Linked DNA regions of Cricetulus griseus. The protein of the gene in region 3 interacts with the protein of the main gene of each other region in a pairwise test. Links are inferred from orthologs where the notes say so. Each region holds a gene or a part of one and is shown on either strand. Other genes may lie near its edges.

Region 1 (6,606 bases), on a different chromosome or scaffold from region 3:
AGCATTTCCCACCGCCTGCAAGTCTCCTCAACTTTAAGCCTCCAGTCACCCCTTCCTTAGTCCAAAGTAGCCGCCCTGGCTGCTTTGCTCATGGACACATTCCCAGAGCCTGACACATCTCCGAAATCAAACAACTACTCACACGGCAAATGAAAAAAATACACCAACAACCCAAGCAACTTCCTCAAGCTCTCGGGGCCTCACTTTCGGCAAATGAAAAAAATACACCAACAACCCAAGCAACTTCCTCAAGCTCTCGGGGCCTCACTTTCTTAATCTTTAAAATAGGACTGCTGGATACAGTGGTAAGCACCCATAGACCCAGCTCCTCAGGAAGCTGAGGCAGGAGGATCACTGGAAATATTAGCCTAGGCCAGAGAGGGCGAGCTCATCTAAAAAAAGAAAAAATGGCGCCAGCACAGTACCATCAGTGAGACTGCTGGGAAAGGGGGGAGCGGGGGTGCCATATTGACTTGAACGGAGTAGCAACTAAGACTGCCATCTTCTATGGTGGCTCTCCCTTAGGTCACTGAGGTCAGTTCACACAGGAGAAACTAAGAATCCACACTGTGACCCAACATCTGGACTGACCTGCTTCCTACAGGAAAAGGTTGTGTCCTTCCTGTCTCAAGAGGCTGCCCACATAAAAGTCTGAAATGGCTGAGGCTGGGGCTTCCCAAGAACACTGCTGCCAGGCAGCAATCACAGGGGGAGAGGGCCTTGACCCTCTTTGACAGCAGGACCTCTACACAGTGCAGTAGGAAGCAGGTCTGGGTCCAGCCACCAGCCTAGCCCGGTGGGGGAGGTGTGCGCTAAATTGCTTTGGGTTGAGGAGAGGGCACTTGGGACCTACAGAAAGACTGGATGGCTTGTCTGTCTTCCTCAGCTGAGATGCAGCCAGACTCCTCCCATGAGCTTATTTGCACACTTCTGGCCTGGTCACTCGGCCTGTGCCAAGCCCTGGGGTCGGCCCCAGCACCAAAACTCCACACAAATAACATCACTAAACATTAGCCATCCTCCTCTCAGAACTTGTCCCTTGGAGGGCTACCTCTTCCCTGAGACCCCTGGATCGCTCCTATCTGAAGGCCAGCTGCTGTAGGATCACCCCACCACAGTGGGCTTCAATCTGGGCTCCTCAGCGGGAACTGAAGCTCCCACGGTGAGTACCGATGCATATTTATTGAACATGTGGATGTGCTCATTGCTACATGAGGCACTGTATAGACACGAGGTAGGTGGATGCTATACCCATTTTGCAGATGGGAAACTGAGGCACCATAACGTTAACACCCCAGAGGTTGCACATCAAAGTCAGGCTAGACTGATTTCCAGAGCCCTTCGTCCCTCACCTCTGTAACATCCCCTCAATGCTACCCTGCCCATTTCTGCACCCCCACAGATACATCCCTGAGTTCTGGGCACACACACAAACATGCCCAGGTTGGATCTTTCTTCCTGAGGCTCCAGGTTACTAGAAACTGGCTCCAACTGGGGAAGCCTTGAGAAAGCAGCAGAGAGCCAGACCCAGGCCCTCCAGAGGGAGGGAAGCAAGGGGCTGGGGCTGAGGGAGAGATCATTGAACTGGCATGGTACCCAGTCACTATTGTTTTGTTTTTTGAGACAAGGTTTCTCTGTGTAGCCCTGGCTGTCCTTGACCTCACAGAGATTCGCCTGCCTCTGCCTCCCAAGTGCTGGGATTAGAGGTGTGCGCCACCACCACCCGGCATGGCCTAGGCACTTCATAGACATCCTCTCCTCACCAGTGCTGAGCGGAGAGAAAAGTGGACGAACAGAGAAGCCAAGGACTTGAATCAGGACTCCCTACTTCGAAGCCTTGCCTCAATCTGGAGTCATAGCCCCCTGCAGGGCCACTGCAGGGCCACCTGAGTAACTCAGTCTCCAGCCAACAACTTTGTTGAAGCCACACCTAAATCTAGCCCTGTTTGCAGGGGTGGGGCCTTCTGCGGTAGCCATCATCACGGCAGGGCTGACAGTGTACACGGGTCACGCACAGCATCTCTGGGTGTGTGACCTGCATGCCATCTGTCCTCAGGCCACTAGTGTGACCAGCAGCAGAGTGTAGGGTTCCAGCAGCTGAGAAGGGACCACTGGGTCTTGAGCTTTAGCGTCTGGAGATAAACAGCTGGCTGAGTCCACTGGGGTTCTGGCTCCTGGACCATCTGAGAGCATCTCTGGGCTTGCTTCCAGCTTGCTTCCTGGTACCTCCTGGTGCCCCCTTCTCCCCTGCCCTCCTGGGCTCATACAGCCAGACCAGCTCCTCTGAAAATACTCGGCACCTTGGGTTTATTGGGGGGTTGGGCACTGCAAGATCAGGCAGTTTGCTTCTCTGCTCGGCTCTCTTGGCACTTCTGGGGGGCTGGCCCTGAAGGTTCCCTCCCAGGTCCCCATTTCCTGGATCTGTCCCCCCACCATCGTTCTCCAAGTCTCTCATTCTTTCACAAGCCGGTAGATGTGGTGCTGAGCCCCATGTTCGCTGGCTGACACTTCGAAGACGTAGGCAATGCACAGCAAGGTCTCCTGTGTGTCTCGATTGGTGACCACCTGCAAGTGAGACAGAGGTGACGGTCAGAGCCCTGGACTGGGAAGCCAAGGGTGCCACCCACCACCTCCGCACAGACCCCCTGGGCATGCGGCCCCCGGTCACACCTGCAGGATGGTGAAGTTCTCCAGCACACTGTTCATCATGTATTTCTCCGGTAAGTGCTTCAGCTTGTGGATGAAGTTGACCATGTACTCACAGAGCGGGGACCGGTGGATACGGTACAGGTAGCGACCGTTCTCATAGCGCGCATACTCTGTCTGTAGAACCCCAGGGACAGCAGAGGCTTAGCATCCCTTCACCTCTTGCCCAAGCCCAATTTAGCAGGGATGTACAAAAATCCAACACAGCCAATGGGACACAGAGGCAGAAGATGATCCAGGACCAGCGCTATCCTCTGAGGTTTCTAGACATGAAAGCAGACCTTTCCGCTCGGTCACTTCCAGGAGAAGGACATGTAAAGACCCGGAAGGAGCGGCCATGAGATGGGGCAGGTGTGGCAAGTGAGGCTGAGCTGAGGGAGGGAACCCGCATCCGTGTGGTGGAACTGCCTTACGCGTGAAGCTTGGTAGTGGATGCTACCAAGGAGCTGGATAGACAGCACATAGGATGATGGCTGGATAGACACATGAGCACCTCAAAACCTTGATAAGTTTAATGCAAGTAAATAACTGTAGGAGCTTTGTAAAAAACTGCCTTTGCTGGGATAGGACAGCAATTCTGAGCCCTGGAGTCCATCTATAGCACCAAATAGAACAAAAGACCACACACACACATTACACTCCCAAGATTAAGAGAAGTTACATGAGTGGGGCTCAGTGGAGCTAACGTGTATCAAAAGCTTCCTGGCAATGGAACAGCTAGGGTTGGGACCCATGAAGCGAAGGTCGAGATTCCCAGGTGCTGCCTGGCACCTAACTGTTGGACATGAGTTTCTGTCAACCTCAGGTAGAGAGGACACCATCAATTCAGACCCACGTAGGCCAAGAGGTGACCAGCCTGACAGCATGTAGTGTTAAGCACCGCAGTGTCACAGTCTTTAGGACCACACGGACACTGTGACATTTAAGGCCATTTTGTCATTCTCATCACACAGTAAGATCAGAAGGTCACAGTCATTGGGACCAATGGGTGGTGAAGGCAACCTGATACTTCCTTAGAGATCAGTCAGGAGTGTTAACACAACCCCAAGAGGAAGTGGGGGTCGGGGGAGGTGTACAGGGATGAAACCCAAGTCCTTAGCTTGAGAGCTCATTACCAGCCTGCCTGCCTTTGACAGGGTGAATGGGAGTGAGGCAGAGAACTCTGCCCAAGTGTAAGGTCTCCAAGGCACTCCAAAAACCAAAAAGCTGTGTGATACTGGGATGCCTGGCAAGGGGACTCGAAAGACTGTCTCAAAAGGGGTGAGGTGGGGATAAAGGGCTGTATAGCTCAATGGCAGAATACTTGCCGAACATACACCAGGCTCTTAGAAAAACTCAAACACCTGGAGAAACAGGGACTCCACAAGCTTGCAGCATTCGTGGAGTAAAAAGTGAGAGGGGAACAGATCCTGAACATCCGTTCTCACGGCCTATGCATCTAGAGAGCTGTGCAACTGAGAAAGGCCATGCCTATCCCCAGGACCAGCTGTCAAAGACACAGATGGATTAGGGAGAAACCCTTGGGCTAGCCCCTGCTTTGGCCCTGCTCTAGAAGTTGCGGGATGCTTGCAAGGAAGGTGTGAAAGGAATCCTGACCAAAAAATTAGTCAGGGATCGGAGGTGTGGGACAGACAATTAAATCAGTAATTTATTAGATGCCTCATACCCAACCTAAAACACACACTTCCTGAAGGTATGTGGAAGCCACATGGGGCCCCCCTCAGCAATCCTGCCCCCAAGAGAGCTCCAGGGAAAGGGGGCACACAGACCATGCCCTTTGTCTACACCCACTGGATGGCCTCCTACCTCAACTTTCTCCACCACTTGCTTGCCAAAGGAGCAGACCTTGGTAGAACAGGTAATGATCATGTTCTCCAGGCTCTCGTACTGGCTGGAGACCCCATAGAAGGCGTTGCTTTCATCGTCAATGTTGGTATTGAGGTCTGCCTGCCGGAGAAATGGAAGCATACGATTGTTTTCAGGGGTGTCCTTAGAGGTCACAGTGCAGGTTCTTGTGAAGGGACTCTAGCCGGCCTGAGCGTGACAAACATGGCTCTGGCACGCCCCGCCCTCCTCCCCATTCCCTCTGCCTTTCTAAAAGCCATTAGACCATATTCCTAAAGCCAGCCATCAAGGTCCTTTCCCTTATCTGACCACTTCCTCTTCCTACCGCTGACTACCAAGGTCCAGCTGTTAAAGTATTGAAGTCCAGCAATCAAAAACCCCCTATGGCTGCCTTAATTAACCTATCCAATTGAAATTAAACACCTCATCCTAACACAGGGTTTCCCCTTTCCCCTTTATAAACCCACCATTTTCCTATGGGCCGAGTCTGTCTCCCTTGTCCTCCTGTCTTTCTCTTTTTTTCCCCTGCCGTTTGTCCCTCTGGGGCAAATAAATCTCCTTTGTGCCCAGAACTTGGTGTTGGGGTTTCTTGTGCCCATACCAGTCCCTTCATCTTGGAAGAGACGGGGCTTTAAAAGAATGGGGGTAGGAGTTGGCTACAGCTCAGTGGGAAGCCGGTTGTTGGCCTGGAAGGACCAAAAAGCAAGAAGAAAAAGAAAAAAACATGGGCACATAGCAAGCGTAAGAAAGCCTCTGCCACCCCCCCCACACCCAGGCTCAATGTAATTCTTTGTTTCCCAAACAATGAGAAATATGTTCACAGCTGCCCACCAGGCAACCACTTCTTGGTTGGATATTGTATTAATTAACTTAGGATCACCGTGACTAAATACCACATATAAACAACCTAAGGAAGGGTTATCTTGGTTGTCTCAGTCCCTCATGGCAGGGAAGGCATGGCAGAATGATCCCATCCTGATGCTAAGAACACGAGATGGTGGCTGTTCTCGTGGCATGGGCCAGGAAAGGGAGAACACAAGCCAAAACCAGGAGTGGGTATAACCTTCAAGGACTTGCCGCTAGTGTCTTATTTCTAGTTTCTAGCAGCAAGGCCACAACTCTTAAAAGCTCTACAACCTTCAAAATAGAGCCACCACAAGCTGGGGACCAAGCATTCCATATGCAAGTCTGTGGGTAACATTGTGAATTCAAAGTATATCCCTGACCCAGAACGGCTCCTGTCCATCTTATAGGACAAATAAAAACATGTAGTCAGAAGTGTCAAAGTGCAAAGTTTCTTCTGAGGCAATCCGAGCTATGAACCCTGCAAAATCAGAAAGAAAACCACCTACTCGCCATTCATCCTAGAACAGAGTAAACATTCCCATGTCAAAAGGAAAGCAAAGGAGAGGACCAAGAAGAAACACAGGCCCTGGAAAGATTAAGACTCAACAGTTAAGAGCACTTGCCACTCTTACAGAGAACCTGAGCTCAGCCCCCAAGCCCCAGCTTCTCTTCTGGCCTCCATGGGTAACTGTAAATGTGTACTCACATATACACAGAGATATACATTAAAAAGCTTGAAAAAGAAAAGACTGCAACTCAACCAAGTATGAAGTTCTACAGCACCTTATCTGATATCCAGGGCTTATGGTGACATCTGAGCTCCAAGAGCCTGGACATTCCAGCCCCTATGGTTCTGCCATTTGCAGCTATGGGCCTCTCCCACAAACTGGCTCAACTGGGTGCCTGCAGCTTTCTTCAGAGACATCCCACATTTCCCAGTATCTTCAATGACCTCTCCTGCAACTTAGGCTCCCTTCATGTGTAGTTTACATTGGGACACCTATTAGAGAATCCGGCCCTTCAACACACTGTTCTAGAACCTTGATGCAAGCCCCATGACCCTACAACTCATCCAGTTTGTATACTTGTAAAGCCAACAAACAGTGGATGATGGCAAGTTCTGCTGGAGGTAGCTGGATCCCCACAGACCATGGCAATAGTGTCCTACAAGTGACTATGTGGCTGAACTTGCTAAACATTTCCAGAAGG
Region 2 (5,749 bases), on a different chromosome or scaffold from region 3:
ATAAGAGCAGAGCTTCTAGCTGACATGAAGGTGAGGTTAACTAATACATTATCAATACCCAAACAGAAAGAACAATCTAGAAGCAGGTGATGGATGTGAGCATTTCTGCAAAAAGGAATAGTGTGTGACAATATTTCACTAAGAAAACACTGAATTTTAAATACAGGCAATGTGTATCTAATCCTTGTATATTTGGGAGGTTGGTTGGTTGTTTGTTTATCTTGGTGGTGGTAGTATACTTTAACCTCAGTATTCTGAAGGCACAGAATGGTAGATCTATGCAAGTTCAAGGACAGCCTAGTCTACATAGTGAGTTCCAGGATAGCTAGGGCTACATCCAGAGTTCAGAAAGTCTTCCTCCCCATAGTGATAAAAACCTATTTGGGAGAAGAGAGTTAGGAGATTAATATACTTCAAAACTTCATGTCCTTTGTCTGGTTCCTCCAAGTCATTACTTACATATTTTTCCTCTAGGAGATCTAATTTTTAAGGTACTGATTATGTATGAATGTGCATGTGTGTATTTGGGTTCGTGTGCACCAGGGTATAGTACCCATGGAAGTCAGAAGAAGGTGTCAGATTCCCTGGAGCTATAGGTGGTTGTGAACTGCCTGTGGATGATGGGAACAAAACTCAGGTCCTCTAGAAAAGCAATGCACACTCTTAATCATTAAATCATCTCTCCAGCCCTAAAAAATCGATTTGGAGCAGAATGAAGAATGTAGGCATGGTCACCTCATTCTTGGAATGTCCATTATGGTTGACAGGCTGTCTGATACAGCCCCTCCTTGCAGTCTCTAATCAAATATTCATTTTAATATTAGATTGCTAAACTACATAGCATTAGACAGAAATTAAATGTCTAGCAACATCTATTTTTCCAAGGCACATTGGGAAAAACTTTATCTGAAGTTTGCTGTATGTTCTGTAATTCTCAAGAGCTGTGGCTGGAGCCACAGTTAAACCTCTGCCTGAAGCTGACAGTACACACTGCCCTGGCTGCCCTCAGCACAGACTGCACTGTTAACACTGTGCCAAATGTTACCACTTCCTCCGCAGACAGTCACATGCAACCCATCTCTCTGTGCAGATGACTGCCACACATTTTCGCTTCGACACACAGCCTAGTACAGTAGACTGAAAGCCTCCTCATAGAGGGAAGAAGACTATCGTAGAGCAGATTAAAGTCAGAGAACTAGACTCTCTAGAACCTCAGCTACCCTGATGAAAAGATACTACATAGTCTGGGGGAAGGGGAAGGGTAGGAACAAAATATATTACTAGCCCTCTGCTTTTACATCCTGCATTTGAGTCTCAAGCTGGTTTTGTTTCCTCCTCTCATCAGTTAGGCCTGACATGGTCCTGGTAAGGTGCTCAGAGATGTCCCAGCTTCCACCACCAGAGAATATACCCATACAAACCCAAATTCCCAAGTCCTGAACTAAGCAGTCACCCCATGTGGCCCCTCAAGAAGAAATAAGCTTTGCTTTGAAAAGCTGCATGTTTTAGTTCAGGACTGCGTGGGGCACAGACAATGCAGACAGCCCTGGCACTGCACTCCGTCTCCGGGGAGAGTGTCACCCGCCCCAGTGCTTCCTGAGGTGCTCTTTCAGCTGCGGGATGGAAGGCAGCAACTGCTGACACTTGTGGCAACGAAGAGGCAGCTTCAAGAGTTCAGAAGTCCCTTCTTGAACAGTCACTCTACCAACTTCTTGAACCATCTTGATCACAGCTGCAAACAAGAAGTAAAGTTCAGAAGACAGCTACTCTGAACAGTCATTAAGATGCCAAGAAAAAGGCTAAAAACATGACTATCAACATATCTGCTATGCTAAGGCTCATGAACTTGAAGATAAGACTTCACACTGGGAAAATGCACTTGACCAGATTTTAAGTCTCAGCAACCTACCTTTGAGATGATGCACTCCTTCAGGACACACTCCATGTACCACAACATAGGCCTATCATCACGCTTTTCCTCGAGTGGATCTTTGCTAAACAGTAGCTGCCCCATTTACACCACAGTAGTACTGGTTGCGTAGAAAATAATCTGAGAAATGCTTACATCCCAAATATACACAGTATTCATGAAGCACTGCTAACAGGAGAGAGCCCCAAACTCCTGCTCAACTCTGCCAAAGAGACAAAGAACTACTGAGACCCTCTCACCCAAGAACTCTGTTAGCATTTGGACATGAAGTGTCCCCCCTAAAGCCTCATGAATTGCAAGTGTGGTCTCCAGATGTTGATGCTATTTGGTGAGATGATAGAAACTTTAGGAGGTGGGACCTACCTGGAGAAAATAGGTCACCGGGTACACCCTTGAGGCTGTGTTTTGTCCCAAGTCCCTTCCCTAGGCCCTCTCTCCTCTTTCTTTCTCTCAATCCCTGGCTACCAATAAGAGAGCAGCTTTACTCGTCCCATCCCTCCCTGCCAGTGTGCTCCCTCACCATAGCCCAGCAACAGAGCCACGGACGCGTCCTCTGACACTATGAACCGAAACAACTTTAATTTCTTAGTGTATGTCAGGTATTCTGTCACTGTGACAAACAGCAGAGCATGGCTAGCACAGACTCTCAGATTCAGCACCAGCTCCCACACATCTTCCTAGAGAAGAGTCTACCCCAGATAACAAGAACACCTGGCAGATTGGGCGGCATTAACTCCTCTGCTGTCAAAATGAAACACTTTTGAGCCCAACGTAACAGCTGACTGGGTCCTTCCAGGATGCTCACAGCAACGCAGCAATCTTATTACAGTGAAACATTCTCGTTCATTCTAGGAGTGCCAGTTTTTCAGAGATCACTAAATGTATGTGGGTCATTTGAGGCCAGGTAAAACATCCAAGAAAATGAAATAAATATTTTTTTAAAAGAATATTATTTACCTTGTGATTCCAGAAAGTATTCTGTATTGAAAGAATTCCAATGTTTTTTGTTTTTAAGGCAAGGAGAATCAAAATCCTGGCTGATCACATGAAGGTGTACATGGCTAGTTGAAAGTTGAAAATTTGAGTATTAGAAACTATGATTTAATCAAAATGACACCAGTTAAAGTACAGGTACATAAAGTTATGATGCTGTGTTCATTCAATGCAATATACCCATTCATTTAGTTGAGAACAGTAAATGCTTGGGAGACAACATACGGAGCAAAGTGCTTGCCATGTGTGATGGATAGTTTTACATCAACTTGACACAAGCTAAAGTCATCTGAGAGGATGCAACCTCAATTAAGAAAATGCCTCCAGCCAGGTGGGGGTGCCACATGTCTTTAATCCCAGCAGTCAAGAGGCAAAGGCAGGTGCAATCTATGTGAGTTTGAGGCCAGCCTGGTCTACAGAGTGAGTTCCAGGACAGCCAGGGCTACATGGAGAAACCCTGTCTTGAAAAACAAAAACTAAAACAAGAAAGAAAAAAAAAATGACTCCTTAAGATCAGGCTGTATGAAAGCCTGTGGGGCATTTTCTAAATTAGTGATTGATGGGATGGGGCCACCCCTGGGCTGGGTGTCCTGAGTTCTATAAAAAGCAAGCCATGAGGAACAAGCCAGTAAGCAGCACCCCTCCAAGGCCTCTGCATCAGGTTCTGCTTCCAGGTTCCTGTACTGTCTGAGTTCCTGCCCTGACTTCCTTTGATGAAGAGCAGCAATATGGAAGTGTAAGCCAAATAAACCCTTTCCTTGGTCATGGTGCTTCATCACAGCAATAGTAACCCTAATTGAGACACCATGCAAGCACAAAGACCTAAATGTAATCTTCAGCCCTGAGGTGAAAAGGCCAGGCATAGCAACACATACTCTCCTAGCACTGAGGAGACACAGCTTGCTGGCCAACCAGTCTAGCCAAATCAGCAAGCTCCAGGTTCAGTGAGTATCCATGTCTCAAAAAATAAGGTGAAAGCTAGATATGGTGGTACATGCCTTTAATGTCAATACTCTGGAGGAAAAGACAGCAGGGTCTCTGTGAGCTCCAGGGAAGCCTGGTTTGCATAGCAAATTCCAGGCCAGCCAGAGCTACACAGTGAGAACCTGTCTCAAATAAATAAGTAAATAAATATTAAAATAAAAAAGGAGAAAATCAATTAGCTACACACACACACACACACACACACACACACACAAGAATATTTAGTGCTTAGTAAGTACCTAATCAAACCTAGAACTGGGAATTTAGTAGTGAATAATATACACAAGGACTCTAAATCTAGAATAATGACATTCTAATGAAGAAAGACAAATAAGCAAGAAAAATCCAAGTCACTAAAGAAGGTGCCAGGCATGTTGGCACATGCCTTAAATTTCAGTACTTGGGAAGCTAAAGTAGGAGGATCCTAAACCCAAGGCCAGCCTGGGCTACACAGTGAAACCTGTCTTAAAAAAAAAAAAAAAAGGAATAACGAGTTGAGAAAAGAAAGGGGTTCAGTAGAAATAGGAGGAGGAGGCAAGAATAAGAGTATACACATATATGAAAATGCCATAATGAAACCCATTATATGTAATTATTGTACACTAATAAAAGAAGAAGAAATTAAGAGGAGGAAGGAAGAAAAGGGAAGGAGAGAGAAGTGGGACAGTGACTAGGGCTGGAGCTAGTTAATTGTGCCCAGAGAAGACCTCTGCCAGGTAAAGCAAGAGCAGAGGCCAAATTCAAAGCCCTGGGGCAAGCAGCAGCTTGGTGTAAGCATGGAACACAAAGGAGGTGATATGGCCACAGTATATGACCAGAAATACTAGAGCCGAGGAACAGGAATTCAGCAAGAGCCAGATCATGATGGGCCTAAAGGCCTGTAAGAGTGTTGTTCTATACTGACCGAATTAGGGAGCTGCTGAAGAGTTTAAGAAGACAATTTCCCACTTGTACCTTTAAAAGATCACTCTGGCTGTTGGGAAAAAGAGATGGGGGGCTTGTAAGACAGGACATAGGGAGATCTGCTACAAAGCAACTGCAACAGTCAATGGCAAAAACCAGCATAGCTTACACTAGAGCTGGGCTGTAGCAGAGATGACCAAAAAACAGCCCAATTTTGGTCATGTTTTAGAAGAAATCCAAGAAGATTTACTAACTTTCTGGGTGCAGTTTTAGGCAGTGCTACTTGTTGAGATGGAAAAAGGTACAGGGAAAGGACATGCAGTTCAAACTAAGTTAATTAGGCTGAGTCGATGGCTCCTGCAAGCATGAGAATCTGAGTTTTGACCCCTAGAACTCACATTAAAAAAAACAGTCATGGTCATGTACTTGAAGTCCCACACTAAGGAGGTGGAGACAGGTGGACTCCTGGGGTTAACTGACCAGCCTAGCCTAATCAGCAAGTCCCAGGTCAGAGAGAGTTCCTGTCTCAAAAAAACAAAGTAGATGCACCGGAGGGGAAAGACACTTGAGGCTCACAAGCATGTGTGCATCCACATGCACGCACGCACGCACGCACGCACGCACGCATGCACATATACACATAATTGTACTTTGTTTAAGTAGAATGACTTTTTGTATAACTTTCATTCTTGGAAATAGTAGTATTTCATTTTGAATCATTAATAATCAAAAGCTACCAGTATGTGTGCAGCATCCAAAATGGAATATAAGCAGTAACGAACAAGCAAATGAATAAAAATGAAGGGAACCACACTGAAGAGTGTGAGAAAAAAATAACTACTTTTGAAAACAATATTTTGACTAGATGCCGTAACACTATAAAAGGGTTGAGGACTTATCACAAACACTGTACTACAGCAGTAAATGTCTCTGCACAGG
Region 3 (6,706 bases):
GCCTAAGTTATTTTTCTGATATCATTACTCAGCTTTAGTTGTGCGGAAGGACGTCTAAGTGGATGTGTCTGAGTGGTCAAACTTGTTAAAGATTCTTTCACTGTTCTGTAGCAGATGGCCCGCAGCCCTGCTGGAAAGTGGAAATAGACGAGGTGTTTTGTTTTTAAGCTATGCACTATTGGGTATTTTTTGTATTCATTTATTCATTAGTATGGTTCTATGAGAACTGCCTATGAAAGTAACAAAAGATGTCCCCCTAGATGCCTGGATGGTTCCTAAACCTACAGCTTCCCCATTAATTTTTTTTTTTTCCGTAGACTTCTACAAACTCAAGTCTCAAGATTGCAAAAATCTGGTACCCTCTGGAAGCAAGAGGACAACAAATTTAGGCTTTCTCCTAAATCACTTGTATAATGAGTGCCTTCACAGCTTAGCCCCAAAGTGCTACTTAGGTTTCCCAAGGTTTTTTTCTATTTAAACCATATTTGGCTCAGGCCCCTTGGACATGTGGTATCAGACATCTACAGCCACACGAGACCCTTCTGCTCAGTGGTACCTGCCAGTCCTTAGAAATCTTAATAAAAAGAAGCAGTTTTACTTTTCTAAGTTGACAGAGACCAGACCAGATGAACATAGCCAGAAAAAAAAAAAAATCAAGATGCTACCTATTGGTGGTGATCTCATGAGACACTTTTTGAAGAGTCCATGCTCCGGGGTGCAGCATGAAAACTGTACTATTTCACGGGCAGATCCACTTGTGGCGAGTAGCCAGAGGCTGGCACAGGCACATCCTTACTGGTGCTTTCTCATATGAACACACTGGGCTTGGTTTTTGTTGTTTTATTATTAACTATTATTATTATTCAGAGCTTTTTGCTTTAAGAATAAGTAACAACTTCAGCTTGATATTAGCCTTCCTAGACCATGTCACCTTACCTGTCCCACAGCCTCCACCGGCATTCGGCAAAGGGCATGAAACTGACATAGTGCCTGTGTTCTGGACCATTTCTGGGGTCTCTTACCCATCTAAGGAGACAGTGCCGTCACTACTGTCCTCCACGCCTTCAGCAGCCCCCTCACAGCTAAGGTACATATCTACCTTTCTGCAACCGCAACCCCACCCCACCCCACCCCCGCACAGAGATCCTGTGCTGCCAGTGTCTAAAGGGATTGCCTATATTTAACTGCCTCAGTGACCTAACCTCTTTCTTCTCACGTGCCAGGTGTTAAAGGTGAAGGAGGAAACACACGTACTCAAGCCTCAGCTGTTTAAATGTTTTTACTGGGGCTCACTTTTCTGGGTTGTTATTTATTACTAGACTGGCAAAGCCTAACTCCTTAGGTTTTTATGGGAAGTATGCATATTTTTATAAAAAAAAAAGTTGTGTCTAACCCACATTTGGCTGTGTTTGTTGCCTCAAAAAAAAAAAAAATTGCAGCTGTTAGAACTTTTCCTCATTTGTCTGCTAAGTTGAAGGCCTTGTTGAGGACAGAGCACAGGAACAGCCTTGACAGTCTGTAATTATTGTACAAATATTTTAATAGCATAAAATAAGTATATTCCTTTTATTTTGAAACAAAATGATCAGACACTGCCTTTCATGTGTTTGTTGCCTGTGGCACTCTTTTTAAAAAAGACTGTTACATATTAAATAGTGTACATATATATAAATATTACCTCTTTTGCTGTACAGTTGTGATAGACCAGACTGAAAATTTTATTTTTTGTGTGCTTTTTATAAAAAAATTAATACACTAAAGAGAATCTTGCTGTGATTGTAATGTACCTATGTAACTTATTTACTTTTGAATGTTCTGTATCTTAAGACCTTTTATTAAATAAAAATTTTAAAAAATTCACTGTTGAATGCCATATTCTTGGTTTTTCTTTTTCTTTTCTTTCCTTTTTTTTTTTTTTTTTTTTTTGAGACACGTTTTCTCTGTATTGTTTTGGAGGTTGTTCTGGAACTTGCTCTGAAGACCAGGCTGGCCTTGAACTCACAGAGATCCGCCTGCCTCTGCCTCCCGAGTGCTGGGATTAAAGGAGTTTGCCACCAATGCCCGGCGCCATATTCTTTTTTTTGTAACGATTTGTTTATTTTTATTTTATTTGCATTTGTGTTCTGTGTCTGCATGTGTATCAGTGTGAGGTTGTTAGATCTTTGGGAACTGGGGTTACCGACAGGTGTGAGCTGCCATGTGGGTTCGGGGAATTGAACCCAGGTCCTTTGGAATAGCAGCCAATGCTCCTAACCAGTGAGCCTTCTATCCAGCCCCCAATGCCATATCTTTATAGGGGTGGGGTTTGTGTGTTTATTTATTTATTTGATTTTTTGAGGCAGGGTTTCTCTGTGTAGTTTTGGAGCCTGGCCGGGAACTCAATTTATAGATCAGGTTTGCCTTGAACTCACAAAGCTCCTCCTGCCTCTGCCTCCCGAGTGCTGGGATTAACGGCATGGGCCACCAAGGCCCGCCTGATTTATAGGGATGTTTTTGCCAGCTGGGATTGACAGGCCTTGCTTGAAGAGAATTTACCCTACCTTTCTGAGCCTTAAGCATTCTCTTTTGTTATCCTGTATACTCAGTAAGATCAAGAAATGAAAGTGTTTGCAGTTTGCCTGGCTACAAAGAAGTAGCAGCAGCAGCATTTTGTTGGTTTTTTTTATATATATATATACAAAATTTAGGCAAGAAAGCATAGTAAGTCTCACAGGAACCTGGAGATGGCATTCTGTCTTTTGCTTTCCTGGGGAGGAGCAAGCAGCAGCTGTGGTGTGTGGTCAGGAGGTACGCAGAAGTCAGAGTGCTGAGTGTTTTCATGGGCTGCATAGTGAATGCATAAGCTGGATGAGCAACATGAGACAGACAAGTCTGTCGTGGTGGATGCGTATCAATAAGGCCAACTTAAATTCACAGCAAAATTAGATTAAGAAAAAAAGAAAACGATGCTTTGCAATATTTATTGTTAAGAAAGAAGCTGGGAAATACGTGTGTGTGTGTGTGCGCGCGCGCGCGCGCCATCACAAAATAGACTCCTCAACCCCTCGGTACCATAGCAACCGCCAGATCCTCTGGAGCTCGCGCATCTCCCGTCGTCATGGATACGGTTGCCACGGCGACACTGACGAGCGGACCGGCCCCGCCCTGCACTGCAGCTGCACGGCGGCGGCCGTTGCGGGAGCGCGCTGCTCTAGACGCTGAGCGGAGCTGCCTCCATCCGGCCTCCCGCCTTCCGCGCCTCCCTGAGGCCTCCGTCCCCGGTGCTCGCCTGCTGCCGCAGCCGCCGGACCCGAGTACCGCCTCTCCCGGCGTCTTCCCAGCCACTGCCTCGCGTGACCCTACGCCCGCGCCTACCGCCGGCCGGCCGGCCCGAGAGCGGCGGGGGGGAGCTGCCACACCCCGCGACCGCACCCGGCCGTCTCCCTCGTGAAGCTGAAGCCCACCGCCTTGCGCCAACCTTGCTTCTCCCCTGCCCGCCGTGAGGCCACGAATAGCTGCGGCCAGCCCGCACCTGCTCGGACCAAAGAGGGCGACATTCGATAGGCAGAGTGCCCCGAGGCACCTGACACTACTGACTTTGGGACCCGGAAGGGACGAGACTGGACTCCGGTGTCACTGGTAATTGTGGTTGCTTGAAGCTTGTCGCCCCCTGGCCTACCCGGGGGAGGGAGGCATGTTGTATTGTCCTAGGTCCTATAGCACTGCGAGCCAGTCCAGTCGGTGTCTGTAGAACTGGCACCCTTAATAGTGGGGCGAAATGGCTTTGACGCTCTTGGAAGACTGGTGCAGGGGAATGGATGTGAACTCTCAGAGAGCTCTGCTGGTCTGGGGGATCCCTGTGAACTGTGATGAGGCTGAAATCGAAGAGACCCTCCAAGCTGCCATGCCCCAAGTGCCCTACCGAGTACTGGGGAGAATGTTCTGGAGGGAAGAAAATGCGAAGGCAGCCTTGTTAGAGCTCACCGGGGAAGTGGATTACTCCCTGATCCCTAGAGAGATGCCAGGCAAAGGAGGGCTCTGGAAAGTGTTCTTTAAGCCCCCCACTTCTGATGCGGAGTTTCTGGAGAGGCTGCACCTCTTTCTAGCTAGGGAAGGGTGGACTGTGCAAGATGTTGCTCGTGTGCTTGGGTTTCAGAACCCTGCTCCCGCTCCAGGCCCAGAAATGCCAGCAGAGATGCTCAATTATATTTTGGATAATGTTATTCAACCTCTTGTTGAGTCCATATGGTATAAGAAGCTGACGCTATTCTCTGGGAGGGACATTCCCGGGCCTGGCGAGGAGACCTTTGATTCCTGGCTGGAGCACTCGAATGAGGTCATAGAAGAATGGCAGGTGTCTGATATAGAAAAGAGACGGCGGTTGATGGAGAGTTTGAGAGGCCCTGCTGCTGATGTCATTCGCATCCTCAAGACCAACAACCCAGCCATAACCACCGCGGAATGCCTGAAGGCTCTTGAGCAGGTGTTTGGGAGCGTGGAGAGCTCTAGAGATACACAGGTCAGATTTCTGAACACTTACCAGAACCCCGGGGAAAAGTTGTCATCTTACGTCATTCGTCTGGAGCCTCTGCTACAAAAGGTAGTGGAAAAGGGGGCCATTGATAAAGATAACGTGAACCAGGCTCGCCTGGAGCAGGTCATCGCCGGGGCCAACCACAGTGGGGCCATCCGAAGGCAATTGTGGCTGACTGGGGCTGCGGAACGACCGGCACCCAACCTCTTCCAGTTGCTGGTGCAGATTCGAGAGGAGGAAGCCAAGGAGGAGGAAGAGGAAGCTGAGGCAGCCCTTTTGCAGCTAGGCCTGGAGGGGCACTTCTGAGTCCCTGGATCAGTCTGGCTGCTTTTGTTATCCCTGTGCGGTTTTACAAGCCTTGCCTCTCATAGTAAAGACCTAGCCTCCTGTTTTTGTTTTGTTTTCTGGGGGATGGGATAGGGGAGTCAGGCCTGCGTATTTGTGTAGCAGTCACAGAATTGCGTGATTGGCCAGGGCTGCAACAGTAGAGGTGGTTCATACTGCCTAAAATGAATGCTTGATGCAAGCCCTCCTAGTGACATCTTTGACAGTTGTGAAAAATGTGAAGCTGAGACACTTCCTGTCAGGATGATTGTGAAAGTGCAAGCCTGCTTCACAGGCTGTATGGTACAGACTGACATTTGTTACTAATATTGTGGATAGTTTTACTGTACATTGTCCCTAATTTATATACATGGGAAGAATATGAGTCTGTTAGATGATACTGCTCATTTTGAAAATTCAGATTTCTCATTCCTCACGGCTCAACATCAGAACCAGTTTACCAGCAAAGTACTCTAGGATTAAAATTGGCAAGTTAGAAAAATGTGATTTTTATGAAGAGGCACAACCTACTTTTCATGGTGTAAGATACAAATATAAGTCAGGGGGAATTTCCATAAACAAGCTACATTTTCCCCACATGAATTATTTGTCATTTAATTATTGGTCATGTTGATGCTAAGTGTTCTAAATTTGAAGTTATCAAATAGATGTATACAAATAAAAATGTGAAAATTCTCATCTTGCTTTTCCTGACATGTATAAAAAATTTTCAGTGTAACTTAGCTCTGCACATTTTTTCTCTGCACATTTTTGCTCATGTCAAAAAATTTTTTAATCTCCTTGCTATGAGCTTAAATTGCAATATCACCTACACATTCTTGTGTTGCCGGTTCCTCGGTTATTGTTTTGTTTCTTTTTCACGGTCCCACTCGATAGCTAGCTGAGGCTGGCTTGGAATTCACTCTGTAGCCCAGGCTGGCCTCAAACTTGTAGCAATCCTCCTGCCTCCAGCCTCCACAGTGCTAGGGTTACAGGTGTGAGCCACCTCACCCAGCTATTTCTTTTAGATACAGTCTCACTATCTAGCTCCGGCTAGTCTTGAACTTGTGGTATCTATCCCTGCCTCTTCCTACTGGATGCTGGGATCATAGGCATGTGCCTTCACATTCTGCTTCTGCAATGCCCTTTAGTGGCTTCTGTTTTTGCATGACTTCAAGGCAAGCGATGATGGCTGAAGAGATGAAAGTGTATTTCTATGAAATTTGACCAAAAAAATTGAAATGGGGCTTAGGTTTTCTAGCAACCTTTTTCATTTTGTGACTTTAACACCTTGTTTCAGTGAAGAAATATGGTCGAGTCATGTGTGTTCAAAGTGAGCATTTGTTTCACGGCAGTCATTTTATACTAAGATGAGAAAAGGGAAAGGCTCTAGAGATGCTGTGACTGAAGATGCTGCCCCTGAGCTCCTGCATAGATACAGAAGTGCTGTGAAGCTTTCTCCAAGGTTTTAAGATCAGAGCTCCGCTTCATGGAGGCATTGGTGGGGTTGGCAGAGCTGGCGCCATTTGTTAATTGTGACTATGAATTTATGAATGCTAACATTGGTGTTTTTCCTACATTTTTCTTTTTAAAATAGTGTGTGTGTATGTGTGTGTGTGTGAGGGGGGCTGTGCATATTATGGTATGCATGTGGAGGAATCCTTTATCTCCTTCTACCATATGGGTCCCTCAACATAAAGTTCTGTTTCTTAAACTTTTATTCATGCACACACTTTGCTTTCATGTGCTAACCAACCACACTCCCAACTCCTATATTTAGATATACATTCTTAAAGACAAATATGGATTCGGCATCTTTCACATAGGGGCATAGTACAATTTTTGTGTGTGGGCACAAGTGAAGGACAC

Evidence for each region.
Region 1: the proteins of Pnma1 (region 3) and Tead4 interact in binary tests that used the Homo sapiens proteins (3 or more experiments, as listed by UniProt). The two-hybrid records come from large-scale screens. The link is inferred for Cricetulus griseus from reciprocal best matches to the Homo sapiens genes PNMA1 and TEAD4.
Region 2: the proteins of Pnma1 (region 3) and Aptx interact in binary tests that used the Homo sapiens proteins (3 or more experiments, as listed by UniProt). The two-hybrid records come from large-scale screens. The link is inferred for Cricetulus griseus from reciprocal best matches to the Homo sapiens genes PNMA1 and APTX.

The regions. Positions count from the first base shown.
Region 1 is NC_048601.1:18,178,209-18,184,814, reverse strand, and holds part of Tead4 (transcriptional enhancer factor TEF-3), read right to left. Parts: intron 4,654-6,606; coding exon 4,513-4,653; intron 2,824-4,512; coding exon 2,671-2,823; intron 2,566-2,670; coding exon 2,452-2,565; 3' UTR 1-2,451. UniProt on the Homo sapiens protein: Transcription factor which plays a key role in the Hippo signaling pathway, a pathway involved in organ size control and tumor suppression by restricting proliferation and promoting apoptosis.
Region 2 is NC_048595.1:101,913,887-101,919,635, reverse strand, and holds the end of Aptx (aprataxin), read right to left. Parts: intron 2,992-5,749; coding exon 2,888-2,991; intron 1,733-2,887; coding exon 1,578-1,732; 3' UTR 1,483-1,577; downstream 1-1,482. UniProt on the Homo sapiens protein: DNA-binding protein involved in single-strand DNA break repair, double-strand DNA break repair and base excision repair.
Region 3 is NC_048598.1:119,611,797-119,618,502, forward strand, and holds Pnma1 (paraneoplastic antigen Ma1), read left to right. Parts: upstream 1-3,091; 5' UTR 3,092-3,757; coding exon 3,758-4,819; 3' UTR 4,820-5,546; downstream 5,547-6,706.